Linked DNA regions of Xenopus tropicalis. The protein of the gene in region 1 purifies or fractionates together with the protein of each later gene. This does not show direct contact. Links are inferred from orthologs where the notes say so. Each region holds a gene or a part of one and is shown on either strand. Other genes may lie near its edges.

Region 1 (3,654 bases):
CGGCCCATAAGGACCTTACGCAATCGGTTACACAAATCATGTTTTTTTTTAAAAACGGGAAGTAAAATCGATTCCAGTAAATCCAGGAAACAGGAGTTTGGGGTTTGTGGCCCTTGTGGTACATTAGAGAGTGTTTCTATTCCGACCACAGGAGTGGCAAAGCCGTATGTGGCATCTCCCGAACCATTAATGGGAAGCCATTACGGCAGTTATTGTAGGGTACTGACCGATGATTCCTCCAATGTCGTACCAGATGGAGAGCTGGTCGGCCTCGGCTTCTTTCCACTTGAAGTTGTTGCTCAGGTAGAAGGGCAGCCAGAAGAAAAAGGAGTAATTGACCAGCTTGAGGCAGGCATAAGCAAGCGAGTACTGTGCAGAGGAGAAGAAGACATGGTGCTTAAGTGAGAGCAAAGTCATTGGGGCCCCTGGGCCCTCCAATTGTTATCTTATGCTGCCAGTGAGAGACGGGAGATCTGGGAGACAGATAAGGTGCCCATACACTTTCAGATCCGCTCACTTGGCGATGTCGCCAAGCGAGTGGATCTTCTCCCAATATCCCCACCTATGGGTTGGCCCTGGGGCTAAACGATCGAATTATAACGACGGGCATAGGCAAAGTCGGTCCGACTAAATTTTTTAACCTGCCCGATCGATATCTACCCGATTTCAGGCCAGATATCGGTCGGGCAGGCCCGTCGTTAGTGCCCATACACGGGCCGATTAGCTGCCCAATCAGTCTAAGGGACCGATATTGGCAGCTAGAATCGGCCCGTGTATGGCCGCCTATATCCAGAGTACAGCTGGATCTCGGTACAGTGCTGCCCCCTAGTGGAAGTCCTGGCCATGTACATGTAATAGGCAGATCAGATCAATAGGCAGACTGCATGTCAGATATATACTGTATTACACACAAAAATCTAATCAGCAGGCTGAGGGGACCATAAAAATTACCCCACATCTGGCCCAGGGCCTCCAGCTGGAGGGCCCCCAATCTAAACCAAAATACAGCAGCTGTTTAACCCTTTCACTGCCAGCCGTTTTGGTCAAAGCGGAACTTGTATTGCCAGACAGTTACACTTTAGGGGCCTTTCCTCAGGGGGGGACTTTTAGTTTACCCAGGAAAACAATATATCATTTTTTTCAGGACAACCTAAGCTTTCAAGATATGGTCGAATGTTTATGTAATTCCAATTCTGTAACAAGATACAGGCTTCTAAATGTCTAAAAAATAAAAAAAAAATAACATTTTCCATTATATAAACACACACACCAGAGACAAAAATTATGTTATGCATGAATTTACCACTGATTTGCAAAGTCCCATGTCTCCTGAACGTGCCGATACCAAATATATATAGTTTTATGGGGATTTCTCACTTGTATAGGCCACAAACTCCCGGCAGGACACTACCAAATTCCCAAAGCACTGCGCCAGAAAGCTGCATACTTTAGATTTTAGGGCCAAAACTCCCACTAACAGAAAGTTTATGCCAGAAAATTATACATTTTTGTAAAGAACGGATTCTGGGGAATCCAGAATAGGCACAACTTTCTGTCTGCTCCAAACTACCAAGTCACAATGCTTTCCTAAAGTTATTGTTTTTTTTTATCAAAATTTGTGAAATTTTTAAAAAATCACTTCTAAGCTTCCAGTCTATAGAATCTTATCTCCTACAGGTCATAAAGTAACCAAATAAAACCCCCTAAATATGAACGCCAGGGGTCCCCTGAACAGTTTGATGCCCAATATGTATAGGTTTAGCTAAGTATGTGGCCCCCCCAATAGGGGCCCCAATGGGAACATACCCCCATATAATCATTTCCTGCAAAATCAACACATTTACATCATTATATGTGGAATAAAGTTAGTAAAAAGTACGCTCACCCCAGAAAGCCATATATTTTTGGAAAGTACACATTCCCCCGAATCTATAATGGGTACCCATGTCTTTCTACTCCAAAGTACCAAGCCGCAAAGCTTTCCTAACTTTTATGACATTTCAGAAAATCGCATAAAAATGTTGCAATTTGCCGCATTTATCTCACACAATTTCTTGCAGATAAAGGCAAATCCCCCCAAATAGAAACCCCAAAGGTCTACTGAACAGTTTGATCCCCAATATGCATAGATATACCGACGTACGTTGTATATACAGACCCCAAAATGAAAATAGCACATATGGATTTCTCACCCCCCAACAGCGTATTATGTGCCGTATCCCCCCCTAACTATACAGAGACCCCCAGAAAACCATATATTTTTGGAAAATACACATTCAGATGAATTCAAAATAGTTAAAGTTATTTTCCTACACCAAAGTTACACCTGGCAAAGCTACGCTAAGAACAGGAACACTAATACGGGGATAAAAACTGCAATAAAACCACAAAAATTGTGCAAATCAGTGAAAAAACAGTGAGAAACAGTCACGAGTCAATAAGTCACATGACAGCGTAATTAGTGGTCAGAATATCTGATCCAATAGTCACGCTGTCAAAATAAACAGGGAAAAGAAACTAAAAACAAAGTGGTAAAATGAAAAAAAGAAGTGTTTGTGTGTGTTTGTGTATACGCCATTGGCAGCTAAGGGGTTAAGCCTCACCAATAGGACCCCGGGCAGGCAGCACGCCTGCACGAAACCAATGGCTTTGGGCGCGCTGACAACATCGTCGCTCTGAATGGAATAATTTGATTCGTCGTCTCCGTCGTCATTTCCGCTGATGAGCGGTCGGTTTGCCCCTTCCTCTCGGGCTGCCCTGTCCGTCTCCCCCTCTCCGGTCTCTGGGAGACCTGTATAAAAGCAAACATCTTATTGGCTGCTACGGGTTACAAAATCAACCCCCCCCCCCCTTGCATTCATGTAGCTATAGCTCACACCCACAAAGAATATAAAAACACGACCAACTGCAAATAACTAGTCTTAGGGTTCCTATGTAATCCAAAAGGTGAATATTGAGATTAAACTTACAAATAGGTATATAGACAAAAACAGCATACCTTTTGGATCATACCACATACCTAACTCTTTAGGGGATGTGACGAGTCCAAAGAAGATGATTATTCCTCCAGCAAATTGCACTGATGCAGTCACCAGGAAGGCGTACTGTTAGAGAGGGGGGGTTATAAAATTAGTCATGTAGTAAGTTATACTCTCCCTCCCATATCTATTAATATACAGAGAAGGAATGTTCTGGGCACACAATAAGCTGTACCCCCATACTGTACTGTCTAAGGGAAACACTATGGCACCTCCTACCCATATGTATAAATACAAATATACAGAGAAGGAATGTTCTGGGCACACAATAAGCTGTACCCCCATACTGTACTGTCTAAGGGAAACACTATGGCACCCCCTACCCATATGTATAAATACAAATATACAGAGAGGGAATGTTCTGGGCACACAATAAGCTGTACCCCCATACTGTACTGTCTAAGGGAAACACTATGGCACCCCCTACCCATATGTATAAATACAAATATACAGAGAAGGAATGTTCTGGGCACACAATAAGCTGTACCCCCATACTGTACTGTCTAAGGGAAACACTATGGCACCCCCTACCCATATGTATAAATACAAATATACAGAGAAGGAATGTTCTGGGCACACAATAAGCTGTACCCCCATACTGTACTGTCTAAGGGAA
Region 2 (3,098 bases), on another chromosome or scaffold:
GGGGCAGGTGATGAGAGTGCAGAGAGAGCGCTAACCAGCAGAGGGAAGGTTCCAGTTCATGTCACAATGGATACAAGTCTCACTGCCCAGTTCAGTCTTCCTGGGGGGCCCCTACTGACCCAGTAATGTTTTGCCAATGAGAGGAGCGTTTACCTGAGCCTCACATCCTGGCTGGCTTCATAGCTATACCAACTCCTATCCATAACCCGGGCGGGGCCCCCACCAACCAGTCCATAACCCACCAACCAGTCCATCCATAACCCAGGCAGGACCCCTGCCAACTCCTGTCCATAACCCACCAACCAGTCCATCCATAACCCAGGCAGGACCCCTGCCAACTCCTGTCCATAACCCACCAACCAACCCATCCAGAACCCAGGCAGGACCCCTGCCAACTCCTGTCCATAACCCACCAACCAACCCATCCAGAACCCAGGCAGGACCCCTGCCAACTCCTGTCCATAACCCACCAACCAACCCATCCAGAACCCAGGCAGGACCCCTGCCAACTCCTGTCCATAACCCACCAACCAACAAAGTTGCCAGCTTTTCCCAAAAGGGTCAAATCCAAGAGACAATTCTGGGAAACGTTAGCTTTATATAAATGTTCCACTATAATGAGAGCAGCCCCACTCACAGGGTAACAGTGCCGCCCTGCAGTCTCCTACACGCGTGCCTAATGGGACTGGTTATCTCAGAGATGGGGCCAGCCACTCATCCACATGGGCCAGTTCAAATTTATATCTCTTGGAAAGCCCAGGTCCATCTGATCAGTAAGCCATGGAGCAGCCAATGTCCTTGTTGCCAATCAGGAAGCCATGGAGCAGCCAATTCATTGTTGCCAATCAGGAAGCCACGGAGTAGCCAAGTTCCTTGTTGCCAATCAGGAAGCCATGAAGTAGCCAAGGACCAATCAGGACAATCCCAGTGAGAGGTCAGTGAATAGGACAGAGCAATGCTGGAACATCTCCTCACTCATTGGCTCTTTACTTTCCGGCGCTGAGTGCACCACAGCAGGACAGACAGACAGGCAGTGACCAGGCCAAGGATCCCAAAGAACATCAGTATAGGAAACGTGCTCTGCGGGGGGCGAACAGGTTATTAACTGTGTATCTCACCCCCAGCCACCCACTCGCTCCGCCAATCCCCAACCAGCCGCCCCCCCTCGCCCCGCCAGTCCCCACCCAGCCGCCCCGCCAGTCCCCACCCAGCCGCTCCCCTCCCACCCAGCCGCTCCGCCAGTCCCCCAGCCCCCCAGTCCCCCAGCCGCTCCGCCAGTCCCCACCCAGCCGCTCCGCCAGTCCCCACACACCCGCTCCGCCAGTCCCCACACACCCGCTCCGCCAGTCCCCACACACCCGCTCCGCCAGTCCCCACACACCCGCTCCGCCAGTCCCCACACACCCGCTCCGCCAATCCCCACCCAGCCGTCCCACTCGCTCTGCCAATCCCCACCCAGCCGTCCCACTCGCTCCGCCAATCCCCACACAACCTACCTCTCTGAGGCACTTGTAGCCATGGAATCCTGGGGCACAGACGCACTGCATGTATCCGGGCCCATCTGGGGCGCACACAGAGTTCTCTGGGCACAGCACTGGGTGAGAGAAACAGAATCCCTTACATTGGGGTACAGATCCACGAGTGTCACTGTTCATTATTAAATAAGGCCATGCCCACATACTGCGAGTGTCGGGCAAGGGACAAATGCCCCATGCAGCGCAGTGACCGGGACATGCAACTTCTCTTCACTTAGTTTGATTGTTCAGGATTTCTATAGTTCGATGAATACTGCCCCTCTGAGAATAGAGACCTGGGCGCAGAACCCCCTAATGTTGGTACCTGACAATGGCTGGGGCCCCCACTCAGACAGCTTTACTGTACATGACCCAGGGGCATTATGGGTAGCACAGGGGAGGTTTGGGAGACCAACACCCAGGGGTTAATATGAGAGAATTTCTCACTCCCCAGAGATGAACGCAGTTATAAGGGAGACCTGCCCCAGATGCCAGGCCCAGCTCTTCCCTATAACATGTGCCTCCTTGCCCAACGGCAGCTGAACTGCAGATAATGATTCCGCTCCATCCAACCACATTGTTACTTACTAGGGTGGAAGTCCTCTGTCAAGAGAAACACAGGATTTCTTGTCTCCTTTTGTGTCACATGTTCCTCTGTGTCAGATTTTCCTGCTTTCCTGTGCTGTGTAATCTGAGCTACCAGCAGCCAGAACTGCAGCACATAAAATGGTGGCTTCGAGCTGTGGATCATGTTGGGCCCAGAGTACTCACCCCACTCGCTGGTACTGTTACATGAGCTCCTCTGGTCCTGGCACACTCTCACAGCCGAAGTCACATTCACATTTTCCCATGAGTTATTGCCCCCGGGGCAGCTGAGCTCGGCAGGGAGAGCGCTGGGGGCACAGATGAGGGGGTTACATTGGGGGATAAAACAGGAGGGACAGACAGACAGAGGGAATACTCACACATACTGCAGCCCCAACAGGCCACGGAAAAACTCAGAGGGGAGATCCCGCAGTGGGTTAGAGGAGAGGTCTCTGCAGAGGCAAAACAGGACAATGTAAACTCACAATGGCTGCACAGTCACCATAGCAACTTCCTGATAAGGGCAACTAAAACCTAAACTGCACCTTTTGTATTAATACAGAATGACTTAACGATCACATGTTCTGCACTCCCAATATCTGTTACTGCTCCCCTTGTAAGTCCGACCCACTGACTGAGCAACACACTTCCCACCCGGCCCAGAAGCTTCCAGCGCTCATTTCCACCCAGTGGCTGTAGTTACAGAGTCCCTGCCCCTCCCCTATAAGCTGCCATAAGAGTGTTCTAGCCCCACCCACTGCTAGTTACAGAGTCCCTGCCCCTCCCCTATAAGCTGCCATCAGAGTGTTCTAGCCCCTCCCCCTAAGCTGCCATTAGTCCCATTTAGACAAATGGTCACCATGCAAGGTCTGGCTCACACACTAGATGATGCGCTGAGTACATAGCGCCCACACATTCAGTAGGGCATTACCCAGAGGGTGCCCTGTACCCGTGTGTGTGTGGGAAGGGAATGCCAGGCAGGTACTTACAGAACTACAG

What was found. Proteins that work in one complex are often made in the same cells at the same time.
Region 2: the proteins of slc37a3 (region 1) and atraid purify together in Homo sapiens (affinity purification with mass spectrometry; 3 studies listed by BioGRID and IntAct, counting the BioPlex papers as one, with this or other methods). This does not show direct contact. The link is inferred for Xenopus tropicalis from reciprocal best matches to the Homo sapiens genes SLC37A3 and ATRAID.

What each region holds. Positions count from the first base shown.
Region 1 is NC_030679.2:5,294,308-5,297,961, forward strand, and holds part of slc37a3 (sugar phosphate exchanger 3), read right to left. Parts: intron 3,105-3,654; coding exon 3,020-3,104; intron 2,792-3,019; coding exon 2,604-2,791; intron 370-2,603; coding exon 228-369; intron 1-227. UniProt on the Homo sapiens protein: Unlike the other SLC37 members, lacks glucose-6-phosphate antiporter activity.
Region 2 is NC_030684.2:16,609,534-16,612,631, reverse strand, and holds the end of atraid (all-trans retinoic acid-induced differentiation factor), read right to left. Parts: coding exon 3,089-3,098; intron 2,552-3,088; coding exon 2,480-2,551; intron 2,408-2,479; coding exon 2,286-2,407; intron 1,595-2,285; coding exon 1,497-1,594; intron 1,081-1,496; coding exon 976-1,080; 3' UTR 579-975; downstream 1-578. UniProt on the Homo sapiens protein: Promotes osteoblast cell differentiation and terminal mineralization. Plays a role in inducing the cell cycle arrest via inhibiting CCND1 expression in all-trans-retinoic acid (ATRA) signal pathway.